Arabidopsis thaliana: one gene and its partners. The protein of the gene in region 3 binds, or shares a complex with, the protein of the main gene of each other region. Each region holds a gene or a part of one and is shown on either strand. Other genes may lie near its edges.

Region 1 (5,087 bases), 1.5 Mb from region 3:
ATCATCTACCAAGAAAAACATACTCCATAACCCTAGAAACTATATATAGTGTTAGAAAGTGGTTATGATTCTTAATAATATATCAAATTCATGTGATGCATCTAAGGAATGTTTTTAACCCCAAAATAGCGGGGACATGCATGAAAAAACCATTTGACTAGCTTGTGACCATCGCCCACAATAATCTCTACAAACTTATTCGCTTGATGACAAGCATAATGTTTCACATATTTTATGTATATATTAATTAATGAGTAGTTTTATTCACAAAATTATCAACTTGGGTGTGTAGCTAGGCCCCCACAATTAATGTATGATGCATCAGATTTATCTAGAATTGTCTTACTGCCCCTCCAAATCGATATCATATCAAGTTGTATTAAAAAAGAACATGCATCTCAAGATTAGTTTAATTCATTATATTTAAAGTAGTTCAACCTAAGTGACTAAATCACAATCAACCCCTAACGTAACTAAGTCTACAAATTAAACCAACAGTCAACTACATCTTTTTTTTTTTTGGGTTGTAAGTTTAAATTTACTAATCAACAAAATAAATGATTATATAAAAAAGAACTACAATTTAATATTTATGATCAGCATATTTTTTCTAATGAATTTTTAAATAGTTGAATGACCAAATTTCGATATATCTACCAACATCGTCAATTGATGATTTTTTTTATAACTAATTTTCAGTGTTTTATTTCTAACTTTTACTCTATGTTTTTACGGTAAGATTAGAAGTGTCAAGACTTGGATATTATTTTGCTTTTTATTAGAATTAGTAAATATAAGGAAAACAGAAAGCTAAATTTTTTTAAAAAAAGCTAACTCGGTATTTCTTCTTCATTTTTGTAACAGAAAAACCCCACAAAATTTGTAACTATGCAAAGTCCGAGTGGAAATATAATTTGAGCTTAGGATCATTAAATCCCTATATAGTTAATTAGTACTAAAAGGAATTATAGAAAAGAAAATGACTCAGTTAATAGGACCACTCTAGAGGAAGAATAAATAGTTTAGGTGTTAATGGAGGGATATATTTTAGAATTAGAACTGTCACATTGGGAAGTGGTTCTTCTTGCTAATGTATTTTAGAATCATTCAAAAGAAAGAAGAACTAAATAATTCTCTAAACTAAACATTTAATCAAAATTTTAGAAGACAAAAAAAGAAGAAGAAGAGAGAACAGACATCTTTGGGCACCTCGGAGAAAAATAAGCATGTGAGACTCGATGCACATCATTAAATGCTTTGAGATGACATGGAAGATTCGGTTCTCGGTATTTGCTCTTTTGTTTCTATTTTATTTTCTTACCCAAAGAAAAAAATAAAATCTTTGGAAACGGTGGGGGAGGAGACAAGAAGCAATGTTTGACTGAGTTCAGTTAAAATTTATTGAAGTCTCTTTTGTGTTGAAGAGTTGGGACAAAAAAAAAAAAAAACTTTAAAGACCTGAGGGTTTGGTTTTTGCTTAAACTTTAGTTGAATGAGTGAAAGAAATGAGTTTCTGTTTATGTCGGAATTTAATAAGTCTGTAAGATTCTGTAAGAAACAAAAAGAAGCAATCTGAAACATCAGAGCTTCGTGCTAATCCGTAGACTTGGACTCTAGCTCTTGCCGCCTCGTCTTTTCTTATTTTACAGTTTTAACTCTACCTTCGATATCAATTAGCATATCATTGATTATCACTTTCTGTCAGTAAAAACTTGTATATCGTTAGAAAAAACACTAATAAATGTAATATTTGGCGATACAAAATTAGATTGTATAGGATTTTGTTTTTCTTTTTTTCAAAAATAAACTATTTATTAGAATTTCCAACTTAGACTATATAGTTTCATAATCAAATTTACGATTACTTTTTGTTTTCCATATGAATATGATTATATATTTAAGAATGTTAAAGAAGACTAATTTTTTCATTTATTCCGGTTTGTATATAAATAGGTTACCATTAGATATGTGTTATCTTGGAGTACTCTACAAATATTTTCTTTACCAATTGAATCATTTCAATCTAAAAAAATACTGAACTAATGTCATTGGTGCTATTTATAATTTGACATATAATTTTATTTAATTGTAAAATTTAAATTCTAATCTTTCTATACAAAATTTAAACAAAAATGTAATTAATCTCGTTTAATTGTAAAATCTAAATTCAAACTCTTATTTATAAACACATAATTTATATTTAAATTTTGTTTAATTAAAAGTAAATAGATTTTGAATATTTAAACTAATATGAATATTTTTAAGATGCACATACTTTTTTTTTTTTTTTGGTAAGGTTTAAGATGCACATACTTTCTCTAGGTATCTAGTAATTTATTCCTTCAACGTCTGAATCGGCCTCAAATTTTCTGATTTGGGCTTAGTTTGGTCCAAGTGGGCTTAATCAAGCATATCATAACTGTAGTTTGGGCTCATAACGTTTTTTTTTTTTTTTTTTTTTTGCGCTGCGCAGTTTAGCTTTTGATGGTACGGCTTATTTTAACAACGAACTCGGAATAAAAAAGCTTTTGACAGAGAGAACGACCATAATTCAATTAGGGAAGTACTTTCACAAACCGGAGAAGATTATCGGAGATCGCAAACTATGGCCGGACGAGATCGTTATATTCCATCATCAGCAGTTTCAACTTCATCATCTTCAAGATTATTAGAATCTCAATTAATCGAATCCGATCGAAATCGAGCTCGATCTGTAATCCTCGAGGATCGAATCGCAATCCAACACCGTGAAATCCAATCTCTTCTCAACGACAATCAACGATTAGCTGTAGCACACATCGGACTCAAAGACCAGCTCAATGTAGCTAAGCGTGAGCTCGAACGGTTACTTGAAACCGCTGTTAAAGTTAAAGCGGAAGGAGAAGCTAAAGTGCGTGAGGTTTATCAGAATGCGTTGAGAATGGAGGCGGAGGCTCGTGTGATTGATGGACTTGGAGCTGAGCTTGGTCAGGTTAGGTCTGATGTACAGAGGTTAGGTAGTGATAGACAGGAGTTAGCTACGGAATTGGCTATGTTTGATGATGAGATGGCTAAGGCTAAACCGAATTCGGATCGAGCTATTGAGGTTAAATTGGAGATTGAGATTCTTCGAGGAGAGATTCGTAAAGGAAGGTGAAAATTTGAATTCTCTTTGTTGTTTTTGTTGGAACATTGGATTTGTTATCTTGTAGTGTATACTCATATGATGGTTTTTTGGATGCTTATGGAGTAGTAATGAATTTGTTTGAGGTTTGGGATATGAAACAGGGCTGCTCTTGAGCTGGAGAAGAAGACACGAGCTAGTAACCTTCACCATGAGCGCGGTATGGAGAAGACTATCGATCATTTGAATCGAGAGATTGTAAAACTTGAGGAAGAATTGGTTGATCTGGAGACTAAAGCTAGAGAAGCAAATGCAGCTGCTGAGGCAGCTCCAACCCCAAGTAATTTCTCTGTCTTTTTTAGCTTTTTGCTTTACACAGTTTAACTGCAAAACCACCTTATAGTTTTGATGATTTGTTGATGTAAGGTCCTGGATTGGCTGCAAGTTATGGAAACAACACCGATGATATATATGGAGGTCAAGGCCGGCAATACCCGGAGGCTAATGGTACTCATGAGGTACACATGAGTCTATAGATAAGTAGTAACTTTACGTGATCATCTGTTAGAAGTTCTCCTAATTTAGCATTATTATGGAGAAGGAGAAGATTGGACTAATTGTTTGTAATGATTGGCATACCAAGTTCTGATTGTCTTACATTCTGAACTGATATCTTAGCAAAATAGCTAGTTCTCAGGGAAAAAAGTTATGTTCATAGGTTAGTAAGTGTCCAACTTGTACAAGTATCCGTTGGTTAGTGAGAATTGTTGTAAACTCATAATTGACTGAATTCAACGCTTATGATAAGATTGCGGTTTTACTTTAACATTGTTCGATTCTAGTAGTGTTTAACATCACACAAATATACACTTCAGGCATATAGAGCATCGGATTGTCTCTCTCAAGACCCATCTACTCCATTGCAGCATCCTCTGAATAATACTCAACATTCTAGTGTGTTGTGATAGTGTCTTGCTTACGTTTGAATAGGCCAGCCATATACTTGATTTGACAATTTTTGTTTTAGTGTATCTTATTTAGCGAGTGTATTCAACCAAATAATTTATTTGATTGAAGTTCGAAGAATTTTTCTACTCTGTATTCTCAGTTCGATTTTTGAGGTTTACATTAATTTACATACCTCATCCAACTATAAACAAACAAGGACAAGAGTTTGTGGTCCTTTTAGAATTACAAATTTTTAAAACTATTCCATTTGATTTGTACTTACCAACATATTAAATTTGAATATATAAGGTATTTAGACAGACATATTGATGGTTCTTTGCATGAAAAATCTCTGCTACATTTTGTTAGTGCATTATTTCTCTACAATTTCTTGAATACCAACTGTTTGAAAGAATAAAGAAAAAGGCAGAGTGTGTTTGTTCTGTTCCATGCAACCTCTTACACACTCGAGTTCATCCTCAGTCACGGGCAAACAACAGTTGATGCAATTCCTCTCTGGCAAATTTCTCCACCTTTACAGAACTAACTTCACTTGATTTGTATCAGTAGCTACTGATACAAATCAATTTGCAATCTCCTCCTCCAAAAGTTGTAATAATGGGTGCTAGGGGATAAAAAGAAAGAACAGAGGCATACATCAAAAGCTAGCTTTATCAAACCACATGCACAAAGTTTACTCAAATCAATATCAGAATCAGAAAAACAAGCTTAATCAACAAGTTTACATTAAAGTGTTTCCTTATCATATAAGAAGGGGATTCCTCTTTCTTTTTCCCAAGCCTTCACTTCAATGATTAGATCTTCAATCATGGCTTAGAAAAGAAACACAATACTATCATCTTAAGTCTTTGTTCATTACTTCAAAAAGAGAGGGTAATAGGGTTACGCGTATAAAGACTCACCAGGAATTTGCATGACAAGACTCTTAGCACGTTCTAAGTGTTCGTACTCTCCTCTTACGAGTTACAAGATTGAAGAGGTTTCCATCCTATAAAGACGATCAAGAATATATAAT
Region 2 (6,776 bases), on a different chromosome or scaffold from region 3:
ATTGATTCTCAGAGACCAAATCACAGGAATGTGAAATTAAGGAAATGAGCCAACCATGAAATTAGTCAGCGAAGATTTTCCTGCATTAGGTGGACCGATGATGCCGACATTAAGCGACTTCTGATCTTCTTCTCTAACTTCACCTTCACCAAGTTCTTCATCTGGTGACTCTAACGCAGCCTCTAAGAGAGCCTTAGCGAGAATCCTTGACCTATCAACACTATCCTCATCATCTTCAGAACTCTCTTCTTCTGCAACTTTCACTTTACCTTTCTCTGTCAAGTTTCCAAAGAAGGCTTTGTTTACTCTTTCTCTGTACCCTTTATCCCAAGTTGCTTCCTTGGGCTTCTTCACGGAATCTACATTGGAATCGTCGATTGGGTATTGACTACTATCGAAAACAGAGTCGCTGCTTGATCCGTCTTCATTGATGGAAGTGGGTTCGTCTAGATTCGGCTGCGCTGAGTAAAATCGGCGGAGAAAGTTTTGTGCTTGATGGGGATTACGAGGTGTTGTCTTCGTCGTCGTTCGTGAGATGGAAATTAGTATACGTAGAGATCTAAAAGCTTTCATTTTTGTAACAATGGCGAAGTAGCGATCTCGGAGAAGTACAGATTTGAACGAAATGTAACAGAAGAGGCTTCCGAGGGTTTTAGAGGTTTTGATGTTTTGGGGAAGTGGTGACAAAGTAACTCAATATTACAGATAGGCCCCTCACTTTTTGACAAATCCAACGTAGTCCCTAACTTTGTATTCGATATAATTACTACTAGCAAAGTAGCAATACAACAAAAATTCATACTAATCGTATCAATTGGAGTTTGAATATACAGTTAATGGAAGGAATATTAGTCAATTTTGTTTTGGCAAAATATTGAACAACATGGTGCAAACATTTTGGGTGAATCTGTATAATATAATACTTTGATCAATTCAGAAGAAAAGGAGACAAAGTTCTTCCTCCAAGTCTCCAACGACCAAAAAAAAAAAGGACTAAACTTCTGAGAAAAAACATCTCTGAGATCCCTAAACAATGTAATGGTAAACTAACTCACCTGGCTAAAGAATACAACAGATGGAAAGTTAATAACTTAAAATCAGATCATAAATTCAGTATCTGAACAAAAGTGAGTGAAGACTTGTTGTTGTAACAAAGCCTTCATCCATATCGCCTTTTCTTTGACGCTGGTTTGGTTTGGTGCCAAATTCTAAAACGCCATCCGCCCAGCAAGCCTACTCTCTGAGATTCGTCTGTCTATCGCTGCATTTATCGAGTTCATCTGCAAACCAAAAGAAACAAACTTGGTGTTGAGTTAAGAAGTTGGATGCTTTATTTTGAAAGAGTTAAGTGCGTATTGTTTTGGTTCCCCAAGGCAGTGAGATTGTGCAAAGGTACCAAACTTTGCAGAGTTAAGAATATAAAAAGAGCTGACCTGGGTTTGAAACCAAACCTGTAGAGTATGATCTTGTGGAACCAATCACCACATTTTTAATACAATACAATAGACAGGAAATATAATGAAAAACAAACAGATACAAACGCTATGTTTCTCACTACCTACTATTGCAAGCTACAAATGATACCTTTCGAACATTGATTCAAAATGCTCAAGTTTCTTGCCTAAGTCCTTCTTATCATATTCTAAGGGAAGAAATTATAAACTGAATAATACGGTGGTACCTCTTAGCACAGAAACAATAGGATCTGGAACAGAAATGTATAAATAAAGCCTACCGAATGGGTTAGACTTGCAAAAGCAAACTCTTCTTAACTTTAAAAAGGGTAAATCAGAACTTACCTGGCTGGTTTCATCGTGCACTTTGTATTTTGGTAAGGACATTCTTCTTTCCTCCTGCAGATACAGACACATTGCGTCAGATTGGAAAACCAAATGGTTCATTACTCGAAACTTTTCCAATTGTAACCATTCCAACATGATGCATAAGAAATTAGGAATAAACTAACCATAGACATCGCTTCATCATCCCATACAAGATAGACCTCATTAGGCTGATTGCTAGGAGCTTTGTTTGCAATTACAGGAGGTGGACCAATTGAAGGACCGCTAGTGTTTGGGCCAGAGGCATAAGAATGAGCATTAGTCCCACCTACGGCAACAAAACATGAAAAAGATATTACAATTTGATACAAAACAGCTAAACCAAATGTAAGTCAATGATTCTACGAACTTGGGATTGAACCTGGAATAGAATTGTTAGGCGGATAAGCATCTGCTGATCCTAAAGCATCTGCATGAGATGGTTGCTGAGCCCCACCAACAGGCAGAGGAGCAGAAAATGGTGGAGCTTGAGAAGGAATGCTGTTATTCACAACAGGGAACAGAGGTTGAGGAACTGGCATTGCAGGTGATGATGTAGGAATTCCAGGAGGAGTTACTCCAGTGACTGGTGATGGTTGTATGGCAGGAGCTGAGGTTGGAGTTGGAGTCATCCCCATATTTTGAACAGGAAAAAGTGGTTGTGGTCGATACCCTAAATGGGCAGCTGGAGGTACAGAAAGAGCTGGATTTTGAGGATACCATTGTTGCGGACGAGGAGGTGGCATTTGCCATACAGGAGCAGGATGACGCATAGGAGGACCCGGATAATACCTGCTAACACGAAATATTTTATCATGGTCAATAGCCATACATATTACAATATCTAAGATCATGAACTATTTCAAAAAACTGTTTACTACAGGTGTTATTGTGGTCTTGAAGAGGAGCAAAAGAATGGTTCTAGGACAAAGTTCTATCCTGAAAAATCACGAGAACAAGCTAGGGAAACTAAGAACCTTATGGGTCATAGTTGGTTAAGTGCAACAATATCTTAGATAACGATCTATTTCAAAAAATGTTTACTACGGGTGTTATAGTGGTCTTATAGAAGAACAAAAGTAGAAAAGTTCTAGGACAGAGACAAACTAAAGAAACCAAGAACCTTTTGCATCAAGAGAACTAAAAGAAAAAAAGTTCCCCATCATTTAGCATGGATCGGATTTTTAAAAACAGAGACAACATCTAAGAATTCAACAAGTAACGGCCATAGAGAGAGTATAGTATAATTAGTACATACATTGGTCGTGCAGGTACAGCACCAGGTACTTGTTGAGGCGGATATACCATTCCATATGGTCTAGGAACTACACCACCAAGAGGGGCAGAAGGAATCTCAACTTTTGCAACTTTGGCTGGAGGCTCATCCTCTGCAGAAAACATGACTTCAGTTCAAAAGGTACCATATGAAACAAGCAAACATAACAATAATATATAATAACTTTGATAAGGCAAAAAGCCGCATGCAAAATCAAAACGAATTCATGACCACTAGATGCAATAGATCTACAACACTTGATGAAGAGACATACAAATTTATCGCCTTACTTCTCTAAATCAATTGCTCATAATCTAAACAGTACTCTCACTATCTCAAATGCATACCTTCTTCTCCATAATGAGCAGTCAAGACATGGGGTGGAATTCCTTGCATTCCATATATTTCAATATCAGTTGAATCTCGACCGTCTTTAGCATTAGGAACTCTGGTGTGAAAATTGTAGATAATTTCAAAGTTAGTAGTGTCATGGAATCAAATTCCAAATTCAACAGGCAAACACATTGAACAGTACCACAAATTCCAAGAAAAACCTATCAAGCAAAAGCAAAAGCAAAAGACTGTTTCTTTACAAAAATTGCAATCAGAAATTAGGGTTTATGACCAGACATATACAAATTAACCAAACCCATTCAAGAGATAATCCAAAAAAACGATTCAAATTCCAGCAAACATACACAATCAACCGATTCAAACCACAACACAACAGTCACAATTAGCGCAATCTAACAGAAATCAAACGACAATCACACACAACAAGAGCAAAAAAAAAATCAGAACTTGAACAAAGATCATAGAGGCAACAACCCTAATATTCCAAATCAACCTAACACAACAAAAAGAGCCATAGGGAAAGGGTAAAAAGAAAAGGCACATACTTTGTAACATTCTCTTTATGAACCTGAAGAACATGAATCACCATGCCACTAGCTGTAGAAAGCTTCTTATGACAGACATGACACTTAAAGTGCTTAGCTTTCTGATGCTGCACAAGAATCTTCTCATCATCAAACTCTCTATCGCAGTAATAACACCACACCTTCTCTGTAGCTCTCTTCTTCTTCTTACCCATCACTAAATCTTTCTCCTATTTGTTGATTTCAAGATTTGATCTCAAAATTGAAATCTCCAATCTCTCAAAAGTCTCGTTCTTTGTCTCCTTCCTCCGCTCGCTAGGGTTTCTAATTGGTACAAAGCGTTTTCTCGATTTCTTCTACGATCTTCAGATTCTCTGTTTTTTATTTATTTTTACTTTATCTAATGGTTACTATCTTGTATTTATAAGAAAAGGTACTTTCTTGTGTAATATTTCGTAAAGAACCCATAACTCTTGTTTAATTATATATTTTTCCAAAATGCTTAGTAAGTTATATAATGATACTATTAGTATTGGTTATGTTATCCGTTAGGATGGTCAAGTGGTCTAAGAGCAACCTCATTAGACAACTTTTTATAGATGTTTTTAGTATAAATAAATAATAAAATTAAAGACATTTCACTTTTGTTGTGTTTAAAGTGTCTCTACAGAAACACAAATCTCAAACTAAAAACATTCATAATTTTTTTATTATTATTATTTATAGTTTTATATTTAAAGACATCTACATATAAGTGACCAATGTGGATGCTCTAAGGCCTTAGACTCAAGTTTTGGTCCTCGTAAGAGGGTGTGGGTTCAAACCCCACTTCTGACATAATTTTTTATTCTTTCAAGAGTTAATTTTCTTTGTCCAATGAAATCTCAAATTAACTTAATCTCAAATTAACTTAAAATAAACTGTGAGAAAACAGAAGAAGATTAACCAACAAAGTAAGTAATCTCTCTTACAAAGAAACTTTGACCAGAAAAAAGGAATCCATGTAACAGATAAGAAGAAGAGACTATAAGAGCTAAGAATTACATAACTATTAGAAAAGATTATAAATAGAGAAAAAAACAGAAGAAGATTAACCAAAAAAGTAACTAGTCTCTATTACAAAGAAACTTTGACCAGGAAAAAAAAAGAAGAGCAATTCCTATAACAAATAAGAAGAAGAGACGATAAGAGCTAAGAATTAGATAACTATTAGAAAAGATTATAAATAGAGGATAGCTATTCATTATTTCTTAAGTACATGAAACACTTGCAACAACAAAAAAGTTAAAGATATGGGTGCTAAATGGAATTCAATGATTATAATGGTGTTTGTGGTGACAATGGTTATAGCAATGGAAAATGTCAATGGAGAGACGAAAGCTCAATGCCATGAAGATTGCATTCTAGGTTGTGCCACCACAGGAAGAATTCCGATCACGTGCCTTCAGAATTGTTACCGTCGATGTCCCGGCAAACCTCGTCGTACATTAGGTAACCATTTTTCAGAAGGTAAAAACAAACAAACAATCTAACAATTTTGGAAATATGTCAAAGAAAATCTATTTTAATGATTATTGAGATTTTTACTAACTATATAAAATATATTCCCCTTTGTATAAATAAATTTGAAGTAAGTTTGACTAGTGTAATAATAATAATAGATTAACAATGGAATGTTCAAATGATTGAACGGTATGCTAATGTTTCGAAAATGTGGTGAAAAATAAAATAGCAACATAACGTTTTGAAATAGTAAAATTTTGAGATATATTTCGGTAATAAAGTGTTTTAAATCTTAGAAACATCATTGTCACTGTTTAGGTATACATATAGTCCTGAAAATATTATTTTTTAAATTAAACTCAAGAGATTATTTGGAAAAACTAAAGGTTAAAATAATCGATGGTTCTAATTTGTATAGTGGAAGCGCAGAAATAGAAGAGACGATGAGTCATGAATCAGTGTTGGACTCTTGGGACTTTTAAACTAGCTCTTCTTCTACTTTTGTATCCTCCTTATGTAATATGATCATTGTAAATTTGTAACGCTATTAAATAAAATAAAATAAAATTTGTCCCATGTTATAAATTTCTCTTGACTGTAAACACGTCTCTGTTTAACAGTTTAAGACTCCTCTTAGATTCGAATCTCATATTTCATAATTTTGGAAGTGACATGTAGCGGCTTATTGATTTTCTTGATTCATATTTTTTATTTTAGTTATTTCAAAGTGTGATACCTTGTGGATAAAGCAAAATCCATATGACCATATTTACATGAGACAAAAGTGAAACCATCTATGTTCAGCTTCAAGAGAAAAACACTTTGTTTCAATTTATACATTTAAAATAAAACTGCCACTACTACGTTTCTCCTATTGAAGCAAAATTGGCTCTCACTTGTTTTGCCGTTTCTCTGTGCTTAAATCCGAAGCTTTTACATTTTTCTACAACTTGTGCAATGTTTGTTTAATTGTACATTTTAGCTAATGGTTACTCTCTTGTGTTTATAAGAAAAGGTACTTTCTTGTGTAATATTTCGTAAAGAACCCAAAACTCTTGCTTAATTGTATATTTTTCCAAAATGTTTAGTAAGTTACATAATCATATTATTCCACTTCTGGTCCTCGTTAGGATGGCCGAGTAGTCTAAGACTATCTACAATGATTACCTATTTATAACACCCACTTTTTCACTTTTAACACTCCACATTATTTTCTCTCTCTTCCACATCATTATTCAACACCTACATAATTTTTAATCTTACAATAGTTTTGTTTAATAAAATTACAACACCTTACCC
Region 3 (6,488 bases):
ACTTCAGCCTGAGGACATCCAGACATTCAAAACAAGTCAACAACTGTGATAACTCTTATCTACTTTTGTAAACTTAGAATTTTGGCTAAGTTATAGTTACCTCTTCATCTTCCATAAAGATAGCAGATAATGGATCACTTTTGGACATCTTTTCTTGTCCTTGTTGGAGACCAGGAAGCATATCTGCAAGTAGTTAACAATGATAAATGATTAACAACACGCTAGACCAGTTAAAACGTGGTATAACAGAAGTCAAATAGGAAAATGCAGAGCATACGGTGTGACAAGATTATCGGTTTGTTTTTCCTCTTTATGTCATCACAGTATTCTCTCGCTAGCACATTTACTTTTCTTTGATCCATCCCAAGCTGGCAAATATCAGCCTACATATGTAACGAAAATGGTTTAACAGTAGTCACAGAACTCATCAGCCAGATACACAAAATGTAACATTACATTGATAAAATCTGCAATCATATACAGCTTATTTCTAGCCTGGAGCTTTTATCAGGTGTTTTATCAACAATATAATAGACTTTCTGCTGATGTAACGCTTAAGCTAAATTTTTTATTCCGAGTAACTAGCAGCAGAATCAAAGACAGTTCATAAGCAAGCAAAGGCTTAACAGTACCTCAAGGAAAAAAATATCTGCACATTGCATGCATGGGTAAAGGATCTGGGCAGCACTCAGTTCATCAGTCTCACTACGTCCCATAATCTGCACACACCTTCAAGGACAAGAACCAGAGTCATTCAGGTCCCATCATTTCCCTCACATAATTACAACGTCCCAAGAATGGAGAAGATTTAGAAAAGTAACCTTAAGATTCTAGGGAGCTTGTTTTTGCGAGCAATGTCCATCACAAGAGGCCAATACTTATCTGCCTTAGAATTAATTTCTTCGGACGACCACAAAAACTCTACTTTGTCATTATCCATCCCAGCAGCCTTCCATATCTCTTGAAAGTATTCTCCAACCACTCTGATTTTCTTCAAGTCACCACCCATTTTGTTGTTCAACTGAGCAAACCAATCAGCAATCCAAATCTTCACTCTGCAACCAGCTGAAGTCATTTTGTTCACATTGATGACTTTCATCACTCCCTATTAAGAAAACAACAGAACCAAAATAGATTAGCCAACGCTTCCTTCCCACATATGGTAATGGAACAAAGGAAAACTAACAGACCTGAGCAATGTGCATTCTTCCTGATGGTTCAAAGCCGTCGTAGCAAATCGGAGCAGCCTTCTTAGCAAGAAGATTCTTTAGCTCTTCCTCTTGTATACATTCCTCACCGATACTCCTAACAATTTTGTATCTCTTCTCAACTTCTTCACTCATCCTGAAGAATTAGTAAAATTTCAATATCTACCAGACCAATAAGCAGATAACAAGATCTTTTCAATTTTAAATTCCATACTTCTAAATTGCTATAGCTTTTTCATCTCTTCCACTCTAATCAAATAATATAATCCAAATCAAAATTGAAGCGCGAAAATGAAAAAAATTGATGATTGGTAAGAAAACTCACTGGAATCCATCGGACGAAGAAGATGCCTGAGTTGATGAAACGGAAACAGCTTCCATCTCCGACGACAGAGCATTGACGATCTCCGAACTTTGGTCTGCCATCAAATTTAGCCGGCGGCTCCTTCACAAAATTGCGAAATTGCGGAGGATTCTTAGGGTTTACCAGTGGCAGTGATGGAGACAGTTAACGTGCAATATAGCACCACTACGCTTCACGATTTTCACGGTTTGATTCGATTCTCTTTAATTTTGTTTTGGTTTAATCCGGTTACTATAAAAAGGCAACGATGTGTTAATTTAGGAAATAGTTGGTAAAATTTGGAATTTAGTATGGGCCTTAATACTAAAGCTTTAATTATTTAGGAAAGGCCCATTAGATATAAAATAGTTCGGTGGTCTTTGTAACAATGGTGGTTTCGATATACCAAACGTATTCTCGGAGATCATCAGGACTCAACAGCGAGCTTCGGACCCCGATCACGCCGCAGTATTTTTTTTTATCAATTTACCACTCTCTGCGTTGGTTACCTCGCCGAAGACTTCAAGATGTCTGATTCCGACATGGACATTGATGATGATGAGGTCGAACAAAAGGTGCAAGTACATACAATTGTAAGAGAATCTGAATTGTTTGATAAACCACCAATTCAAGCTTCCAATTCCCACAACGGTTAGTATTTGAAATTCGTGATTGGTTACATGGTATTGTTGATTAATTCTGTCAAGTTCGTGTTTTTATTGATGGAAACACCTTTTCCAATTTGGAATTGATGAATTTTGTTCTAGAAGAAAGAGAGAATTGTTAAATTGACTAGATTTAGCTCTGATTAGAGGTTCAAAGACTTGGCAATTAGATTTTCACTGAAGCTCTTTTGTAAAAATTGTGGCTTTAATACCAAGTAAGCAAATTCAATTCTCAGAGTTTTGTGCTTGTTTCTGTAAGGAATCTCTTTTGTTTATTCAAAACAGCAGTTTTGCTAATATGTACTGATTAAACTTGTCTCATGTAGATGTGAAGAGGCATTCTGTAACAACACCTTTAGATGAGCAATCAAAAATCATAAAGGAGCAAGCTTTTGCTCAAGATAATGGTACTTTACCAAGGTATGGCAAAAAAGTTTCTGCTTAAGTTTTGCTGAAACTAAGTTAAGAGGTTGAAGCTTTTATACTGACAAATTCGGTTATCAGATTTCCTGCTCCGGGTATACCGCCAAGAAGCTTTTTCACTGGCGGTGGTGGGAATGAACCAGAACAAAAACGTGCAGCTCTTCCCTGCAAATTTTTTGCTAAAGGGTGGTGTTTCAATGGGGTGTCCTGCAAGTTTCTACATGTGAAAGAGAATTCAAATTGCACTAGTCAACAACTGGCGGAAAATAGTATGGCTGGAAACGGTGGTATCCGGTCTGATCTAGGTACGTTGTACCATGAATACTTATTCTTGTGATTCTATGTGGAGGTAGTTCCAACAATATAGAGGCCGGTGAATATCTATGGGGTTTAATTACTCTTTCTGAATCAACCAATAATTTATTTTGCTTATGTCTATTCAGAAAGAAGAATTTTGGACAGCAGAGAAGGTGTAAGAGTTTCCCAGTTAAGCGAAAACGGTGTGACATCGTTGCCTACCAGAGAGGATATATCTTTCATGAATCCTCAGAGAGTTTTCTCCTCCATGTCTTTTGTGAATCCCCCAGGTTCTCAGAGAGTTTTCCCGTTCAATAACGAGATGCGCTTTATGCCTTCATTTGAAAACATTAGAAGAGAGAGTTTGAAGCAAACGTATGGTGCTGATTTCACTGACAACAGGTCTCTAGTTATTAATAACGCCAATTCCTTCGCATTGAGAAGCAGCTTTGTTCATGAGCATAGACCTTCTATCAGTTCCTATTTAAAAACAGACATGGGATCTGCTGGACCAGCCTGGACAGGATCATTATCCAGTTCTGTTCCTATGAATGATCGTGCTTCTACGGTGGGGGATTTTGAAAATGGGAATAGTTTATCTGGATCCGGATCACTTCCAACGCTGCAAGGGGTAGCTGTTTCTTCTGATAAAGGCGCAGAAGCCAACACTACTAGCACTAAAAAGAAAGTTTCTTCAGATGACTGGGAACCTTCTGAACCTTTTAAAGCATCTTTTACAATTCCACCTTATATTCTTCCCTCGTCTGATGCCCTCTACGATCCTTTCACGGATATAGAGAATCTAGGAGACAGACCTCTTAATGATTCATTGTCAAGTAAAGGAGAACATGCACGGAAAAGTTCCTGCCAGCAGAAAGATGGTGATTCTGCTAGTGGTCCCCAAGCACGGGATTGCAAGAATGATGATAAAAGCAGTTCATGCAGTCAAAATCAACACCAAGAAACCGTGGCAAGGAGTTTGGAAGCACATGGAGTAGTGGAAGGGGTGGCTACGTCAGTGGTTGATCAAAATGATACAGCAACGCCTAGCAAAGAGATTTCTTCGGCTACGGCTGCAGAGAATAGAGTTGTTTTGAAAAGAATCAAACCTGCAGGGCATGATTCTTGGCATAGAAGTGATGGGTCTTCATATAAAAAGACAAAGAAATCAGATGAGATAGATGGTGAAGTGAGGTCAGATGCAGGAATGAAAGTAATGAGACTATTCCGGACTGCAGTTGTGGAAACCATTAAAGAAATGTTGAAACCGTTGTGGCGTGAGGGTCGTCTAACTAAAGACGTGCATAACATGATAGTTAAAAAAGCTGCAGAAAAGGTAGTCGGCGCCGCTGTCCAGTTTCATCAGGTGCCAACTGACACAGAATCAGTTGATCAATATCTTGGTTTGTCTGGAACCAGAATTGTGAAACTTGTCGAGGTGAGTTTCTTAGCTGGAAATAAAAGACACTTAAAGCAGGTAAAAACCTAAGTAGTAAGTATTGCATAAGCTAACAATTCTTATGTTCATTTGCAGGGGTATGTCGAAAAGTATGGTAAACCCTGAGTTATCAAACCAAATGTCACTTGGTGTGGCATGAGCTCAAACTGATGAGATTCCTGTACATTATGTCATCCTTCTTTTACTCAGTTATAGATTTAGTACGTAGCACCTAAATTCTTTGGAACTCCATTCCTATCCTTTACCGATAATGGAATAAGGTTGGAATGGGAGCTTGGTGGAGGAAATGTGTACACATTGTAAAACTCTTCAAAGCTTAATTTATGCTTAAAACAGTTTTCTTTTACCTTTGGGAATATGATTTAGAATGTGATCTTTAGAAGTAATGTGATAAAGAATGGTTGCCTTGGAAGCAGAGGAAAAGAGAAAGAAATGGAATAATGTTGAGGTACGTTTCCTAACTATTTGATAAGTAATTTAGCTTTGTGAAACCAAGATTTTTCAAATTAGAAGTTAGTTTTAGTTTTGTATTTCTCCATCAATATAAGTAAAACCTCTGTAAATTAATACTCGGTAAATTAATAACCTCTATAAATTAATAATTTCTTCCAATCCCGAGGTGAGACTAATGGAAAAAATGACATAAATCGATAAATTAATAAGATAATAATTTTTTTGAAAATCCTATGTAAATATATGGTCTCATTAATATCACAAATTAATAATTGCAGAAATGTATCAACTATATATACATTATATGTAAGAAATTTCTTTAAAATATATTTCTAATATTTTTTTTTGCTTAAATTTGTATTTATTCTTATTTGATATTGAGTTCTAATATTTTATTGTATCAAAAAATTTTGGTGTTGTTTTCTAAATATGATATTACTTTTTACTTGTAATTGATTCTTAAAAAATATTTTCTATAATGAAAAAATCTTAAATTTTTTTTAAAAGTTAATAAATTAGAAAAATATCTCTATAAATTAATTAATTAATCGATAAATTAAAACCTCTATAAATTAATATAATTTTTCGGTCCTAACATTATTAATTTATAGAAGTTTTACTGTAAGTAGAAAGTGGTTTTTGGTTTAGGATAAAGTGCATACGTTTTGTGTACAGTTTTGGAATTAGTTTTATCTTTTTCAAACATTTTAGTGAATCATTTGGACTATGATCATTAGGACATCATGAACTTATTATCTATGGTGGGTTTGTGGAAAACTATTTGATTAGAGTTACTGTTGCTTAATAATATTAACTTCACAAAATAATCAAAATATGTTTGTTGTTCCTATAATACTTTTCCACGAAAGACTTGGGATTCTTTTGATTTAAGGGTCCCTACACTTTATGACTCGTCGTCCTTATCCATATCTCCAGCTCTATACCCACCTTGCATTTTTTTTATTTCCACACTTCTCCCTCACTGCTCACGCTTCTCATGATCAATGGTTTGATCTATATTATAACATTAATGTTATATATTAAGGTCCTTTAAAGTAGGCTTATCCACATCCTAATTTCCAAAGATGGCGTGTATTTTAGCTCTAAACCCTGGAAGTTGCATGTTATATTAAAATGTTGTAAAATGACATATTAATACATAACACACAATTTACAATTATATTATGTATTCATGTTGTTTATTGACAGAGAATAATAACATTTTGGCTAAACGTATCAAATTTTAACGAAAATTCTATGTGCAAGTATATAAACTTCATTTGGTAATTAAGTTATCAATTACTTGTCAATTATTTCTAGTCTATTATAGTATTTCTCTAGATATTTTGTGGGTCAAATAAAAAATGAGAGAACTAGTCGACAAAGGAAAAGAGATATTTTTACGAATAGTTTAAAAATGAGTCTATAAATTAGATGAAGGAAGCCCTTTAGTAAGTACTTCACACTTGACACAATTCTATCCAAAATCAACCCAAAAAAAGAAAGAAATATGTGGGATGAAACTGTAGCCGGACCTAAACCGGAGCATGGCCTTGGCCGCCTCCGCAATAAGATCACCACCCAACCCCTTGACATCAAAGGTATTTATTTTTCTTTGTCAACCATAACTCCGTAATAAA
Region 4 (5,109 bases), on a different chromosome or scaffold from region 3:
GTGAAAACTGTGTTTTAACTATTTATCAAATGGAAATACAATTTTGGTAACATTAATTGTCCAAGAAATGAACTCTTCAAGACTCTTTAGATTATGAAAGAACAATATAACAGAATCCAACCAAAGTCATCAGCTGGATTAAATAAACCAGCAGTTCTTTGGTTTATGCTGCTTCAGAGGTGTTGTTTCGTTTTAAGAGTGACGCCGCTTCAGTGAGCCGGAATCGATGAAACTGCTTCCACGAATATGCCGTCGTAGAAGACGAAGACACTTTCTTGGCTCTTTCTGAGCTATCAGTAACTAACTTACCTAGTTGTTGTTGTGAAGTAGAGGATCTGCGGCTGCTTTTGTTGAATTGTCCAACTCTATATTTTATGTTATGCTGTATGGATATTGATCACAAGTAACATATTCGACAAAGGAACTTTCGTAGACTCACATAACTGTTTCTCCTGCCTTGTAGGGGAAGAAAGTTCGTGCAGGGGGGATATAAGTTGACAAAGATAGATGGGAAGACTCTGAAATCAAATTTTCTCTTATTTTAATACCACTACTCCTTTTACTAAAGCCAATAAAGAAGAAACATTCAGCTACAGACGTAAAAAAACAATATGGCTGCTGACTTTAAATTTTGGTTATAAAATCACAACCATAACAAAGCTAGGAAGAGAGATAGTCATCAAAATGGATTCCCACTTTCTGGAGAAGATAGGATTTATCTCAAACCAAATCTCCAGAGATAAACTTAAACCAGGAGATCACATCTATTCATGGCGTAACGCTTATATCTACTCTCATCACGGTTCAGTCTCTATCTCTCAATAACGTGACTTTTTTTTTGTTTCGGATTGCATCAAAGATAATCAAATATTTGATGCTCATCCTCAGGAATATATATAGGCGATGAGAAAGTCATTCATTTCACTTGTGGAGGTGGTCTAGAAACTGGAACTGGGACCTTCTTGGACAAGATCGTCGTTAGTGTCATCCCTAATCATAAAGGAGACAATCCTTGTTCTAATTGTGAAGAGCAATTGAATCTCGAAGGTGTAATCTCTTCTTGCCTTGACTGCTTTCTCGCCGGAGGAAACATCTATCTTTTCGAGTACAGTGTCTCTCCAGCTGCATTTATCGCCAAACCTCGACGCGGCACATGCACTATAGCACCTTCGGATCCCTGCGATGAAGTCATTTCCCGCGCCAAATACCTCTTATTGCGGAATGGGTTTGGTGATTACCATGCTTTGGAAAACAATTGTGAAGATTTTGCAATATATTGTAAAACAAGCTTGCTGGTCGGAAAAGACTATGTGTTGGGAAGGGGCGGTCAAGCCAGCTCAGTGAGTGCAGCTGCGTGGCTTGCGCAACTTAGTCCTTTCGGCAGCAAAGCTATTCAGCTATTTGCAGATATTGGTATGAGAAAGGATGCTATTAAGGTGCCCGTCGAGAGCCTCGTTCCTCGCGCATATGCTACTGGTACCTCTAGAAATAGAAGGTGATGAGGTTTGAAGACACGCCAACGGGCGGGTAGGCGAATTCTTCGAAGAATCTATAATGTAGGAAACATGATCCAATATTGTAGAAAAATTCACTACTATTCTATATAAACCAAAAAAACAAAGAATGAGATTCCTCAGACATAGAGTTAGAATGATTTTTTTACTTTCCATCAAGGCAAATATTCTACAAAGATAACATTTTACATTGAGGAGATTAAGATCTTATTGTCGAGATGCAGCTAGCTACTGAGAATAATAAGGCGGGTGGTATTGAGGCGGCAACACATATCCAGTTTGCTGAGCATAGTAAAGAGATTGAGGAGTTGCACCTGAACCAAAGAGCCCAGTTAATGGGTTCACAACAACACCAGAAAATGCTGAGGTCATAAGACCATAAGGGTTCAACTGTAAGCCATGATGACTATGCTCAGGCATAAGAAGAGCTTCTGGTCTAGAAAGTAGCTGCTGACTCGGAACTGGAACTTGTGACCCATTTTTGCAGTCTCTAGTCCGCTTTTTCCCCTTTTGCTGTGGCTCTTGCTTGGGAGGATTAGTCGTGTTGCGTTTCCTCAATGCCTTATTTTTCTCCAGCTCTTCTACACGTTCCTCAACTTTCTCCTGAGTAAACTCTGATTCAAGGTTCTGATCTTTGATGATTTTGATCAATGGTTTCAAGGCACTGACTTCTTTATCAGAGGCTTCGTTCTGCGACTTGAGAGAGTAGTTATCTTCCACGCAAACTCTAAGAGCAGCTTCTCTACAGTCCTTAATGTAAGATTTCAAAACAGGGATTGGCTCAAATTCATCAGTCATCCCACACTCATACATGAATTTGACTGCTAAAATTGGTTTACCAGAATCCAAGAGAGTCTTGATGAGTTTCCCAACTCTTTTCCTATCTACACCAATCTTGTTACAAACCAAAGTTGCTTGCTTATACTTAGCGATCATGAAAACGTAATCAGAAAGCTCCTCTGTGTCAAATTCTGATCCTAATTCAAAAGCTGCGACCAAATGCAGAAACACTAACGCCTCGAAAGGCTTGACACCAACCTTAGATTTCCAATGGTAAGCCAGTTTCTTAGCTCTATTTCTCGTATCAACAGTGATATTCGCATTGATCTCAATCAAAACTTCCATTAACAAAACGAAAACTCTCCTTACATCGAATGATCTTCCCGATGATGACGGTGTGTAGTTCGAACCTTCAATCGCGTCAAGCACCATGGACGCCGTATCCGGAGAGTAACGAATCGCTGCAGAAACTTCCTGATTGAGAGGAGTTTCATCATCCCATATCCTAATCAAATACTTAATCAAACCAATTCCGTCAATCTTCTCACACAAGGCTCTCAACTCCGGCTCAACAACGGGTTGCTCCGATACCTCCTCCGAAGACGACGATTTCCCTGCATCAGAAGCGTCGATTCTATACGAATCATGTTCCAAAGGAGATGTAGAGTGGAGGAGGCGGAAACGGCTAGCAAGGGAGGATTGGAGAGAGGAAAAGTGAGAATCGATCTCAGACCAGGAAAGTGAGAAAGACGGTGAAAGGAGAGAGCGATGAGCTTGAAGATCGTCGAAAGCTTTCTTTAGCTTTTCCTTCTTCTCATCAATCTGATTTATCGCGGTGGCGATAGTCTCACTCGCCGTCATTGTTTGATCTCTAAGATTTCTTTGGCTCTCTCCGGCAAGGATATATAAGAACGTTATCGGTTCGGTTCGGTTCGAGTAAGTTTAATAAAACCAGAACCGAATTGTTTTTCACTTGATTTGGTTCGATTTATAGAAATTGAAATGGTTTGGATGAATTCAATTTCGTTTCTACTCGGTTTAGAGCGACCTCTATTAAGACAAAATCGAGACCACACCAGTCTATAGTCTCTCTTTCGAGTCTGCAGCTAGCGTGAAGACGATGAAATCGATGGGAGGAGATAGATAAGCGCGAATTTGAGAGTGAAAATTCTAAATTCAGACCCATTTTCACCGGCGCGAGTCATCGTTGAACCATGTCTTGGCTTCCTGTAGAATCTGATCCTGGTATATATTCTCTTTAACAATTTGGGGTTCCTGTTTTCTGGATATATAAAGAGATGATGTCAGTAACGAGGTTTTGATAGTGGAGCACTAAAAATGTTTGGAAAATAGTCTTGGCTTCCTGTAGAATCTGATTTATGTTTGGATTTTGTCAAATTAGAAGCCAACAAATGTTGAAAATAGTCTTCTCTGCATCTACAAGAGGTGATACTTACTGTGTGAGGATTGGAAAATAAAAGTATTGATGCTTTTTGAAATTATATATCAACAATGGTGTTTGTCTTATACTAAGTGGATTAGTGTCTCTCGATAGCCATTGTGCCATATATGTGAGTAAGACCAATGTCGCTTTCTTGTTTGTTATTTCTTCATATTTTTTGGTTTTCTGTATTCTATATTTTTAGGTATTTTCACTGAGATTATACAACAAATGCAAGTGAAAGGTGTGCAGGTTGAGGAATTGTATTCCTTGGACTTCAACTCTCTGGATGAAATAAGGTAGTTTACTTGTTACTCTTTCATCTTCTATTGTTCGAAACAGAAGAAAAACAAAGTCAAATTTACCTTGAGTTGTCTGATATTTGCAGACCTGTCTATGGATTGATATTGCTTTACAAGTGGCGTCCAGAAGAAAAGGAGAATCGTGTTGTCATCACAGAGCCAAACCCGAATTTCTTCTTTGCAAGCCAGGTCTTTTACTCTCACATTAGATTTGTGACTCACGGATTTTCCAATCATTACCTTTTTTATAAACTATGTGTTTCTTGCAGATAATCAACAATGCTTGTGCGACCCAAGCGATATTATCAGTCCTCATGAACTCTTCGAGTATTGATATTGGCTCAGAACTATCAGAACTGAAACAATTCGCCAAAGAATTTCCTCCTGAACTGAAAGGTTTAGCCATCAACAACAATGAGGCAATACGTGCAGCTCACAACACATTTGCCAGGCCTGACCCGTCTTCCATCATGGAAGATGAAGAATTAGCTGCTGCGAAAAATCTAGACGAAGATGATGATGTGTATCATTACATCAGCTACTTACCTGTTGATGGTATCTTATATGAGCTCGATGGTCTTAAAGAAGGACCCATTAGTCTTGGACAGTGTCTGGGTGAGCCAGAAGGAATCGAGTGGCTCAGAATGGTCCAACCTGTGGTACAAGAGCAGATTGACCGGTATTCGCAGAATGAGATTCGGTTTAGTCTCTTAGCTGTAGTTAAGAACAGGAAAGAGATGTATGTAGCTGAACTGAAAGAGTATCAAAGAAAGCGAGAGAGGGTTTTGCAGCAGTTAGGTGCTTTGCAAGCTGATAAATACGCTGAGAAAAGCAGTTACGAGGCTCTTGATAGAGAGCTTTCGGAAGTCAATATCGGGATAGAGACTGTTTCACAAAAGATTGTAATGGAGGAGGAGAAATCTAAGAACTGGAAGAAAGAGAACATGAGAAGGAAACACAACTATGTCCCTTTCCTCTTCAACTTCCTCAAGATTCTTGCTGACAAGAAGAAGCTGAAACCTCTCATTGCTAAGCACCATCCCTAAATCTGCTTTACCGGGATGTTAACTTG

What was found.
Region 1: FES1 (region 3) and AT2G30120 share a complex: the UniProt entries of both Arabidopsis thaliana proteins name them as parts of the transcription activator complex.
Region 2: FES1 (region 3) and SUF4 share a complex: the UniProt entries of both Arabidopsis thaliana proteins name them as parts of the transcription activator complex.
Region 4: FES1 (region 3) and FRL1 share a complex: the UniProt entries of both Arabidopsis thaliana proteins name them as parts of the transcription activator complex.

The regions. Positions count from the first base shown.
Region 1 is NC_003071.7:12,859,381-12,864,467, reverse strand, and holds AT2G30120 (protein FLC EXPRESSOR), read left to right. Parts: upstream 1-2,496; 5' UTR 2,497-2,605; coding exon 2,606-3,132; coding exon of another isoform or gene 3,133-3,136; exon of another isoform or gene 3,137-3,249; coding exon of another isoform or gene 3,250-3,262; exon of another isoform or gene 3,263-3,267; coding exon 3,268-3,443; intron 3,444-3,529; coding exon 3,530-3,621; coding exon of another isoform or gene 3,622-3,639; exon of another isoform or gene 3,640-3,789; coding exon of another isoform or gene 3,790-3,861; exon of another isoform or gene 3,862-3,978; coding exon 3,979-4,068; 3' UTR 4,069-4,321; downstream 4,322-5,087. UniProt on the Arabidopsis thaliana protein: Transactivator required for FRIGIDA-mediated activation of FLC and for the expression of the repressors of flowering AGL27/MAF1 and AGL31/MAF2. Does not alter expression of known activators of FLC expression.
Region 2 is NC_003070.9:11,039,405-11,046,180, forward strand, and holds SUF4 (zinc finger (C2H2 type) family protein), read right to left. Parts: upstream 4,370-6,776; 5' UTR 4,190-4,369; coding exon 3,996-4,189; coding exon of another isoform or gene 3,992-3,995; intron 3,545-3,991; coding exon 3,444-3,544; intron 3,209-3,443; coding exon 3,079-3,208; intron 2,613-3,078; coding exon 2,203-2,612; intron 2,110-2,202; coding exon 1,967-2,109; intron 1,854-1,966; coding exon 1,656-1,853; 3' UTR 1,281-1,655; coding exon of another isoform or gene 1,209-1,280; 3' UTR 871-1,208; downstream 1-870. Other genes in the region: AT1G30960 (GTP-binding family protein), read right to left, coding at 55-573; AT1G30972 (Plant thionin family protein), read left to right, coding at 5,267-5,506. UniProt on the Arabidopsis thaliana protein: Sequence-specific DNA binding factor that recognizes the 5'-CCAAATTTTAAGTTT-3' sequence. Recruits the FRI-C complex to the FLC promoter. Required for FRI-mediated FLC activation, but has no effect on the expression of MAF1, MAF2, MAF3, MAF5, UFC and CO.
Region 3 is NC_003071.7:14,310,157-14,316,644, reverse strand, and holds FES1 (Zinc finger C-x8-C-x5-C-x3-H type family protein), read left to right. Parts: upstream 1-1,930; 5' UTR 1,931-2,078; coding exon 2,079-2,202; intron 2,203-2,542; coding exon 2,543-2,636; intron 2,637-2,720; coding exon 2,721-2,944; intron 2,945-3,082; coding exon 3,083-4,374; intron 4,375-4,470; coding exon 4,471-4,500; 3' UTR 4,501-4,933; downstream 4,934-6,488. Other genes in the region: AT2G33840 (Tyrosyl-tRNA synthetase, class Ib, bacterial/mitochondrial), read right to left, coding at 1-8, 101-183, 278-383, 633-729, 822-1,105, 1,191-1,344, 1,534-1,634; AT2G33830 (Dormancy/auxin associated family protein), read left to right, coding at 6,359-6,449. UniProt on the Arabidopsis thaliana protein: Transcriptional activator involved in the FRIGIDA-mediated vernalization pathway, but not in the autonomous flowering pathway. Acts cooperatively with FRI (FRIGIDA) or FRL1 (FRIGIDA-LIKE 1) to promote FLC (FLOWERING LOCUS C) expression.
Region 4 is NC_003076.8:5,342,553-5,347,661, reverse strand, and holds FRL1 (FRIGIDA like 1), read right to left. Parts: upstream 3,168-5,109; 5' UTR 3,156-3,167; coding exon 1,743-3,155; 3' UTR 1,556-1,742; downstream 1-1,555. Other genes in the region: AT5G16330 (NC domain-containing protein-like protein), read left to right, coding at 685-802, 889-1,499; UCH1 (Peptidase C12, ubiquitin carboxyl-terminal hydrolase 1), read left to right, coding at 3,509-3,539, 3,941-4,034, 4,124-4,226, 4,307-5,083. UniProt on the Arabidopsis thaliana protein: Required for FRI-mediated up-regulation of FLC transcripts, but not redundant with FRI and only partially redundant with FRL2. Required for the stabilization of the FRI-C complex.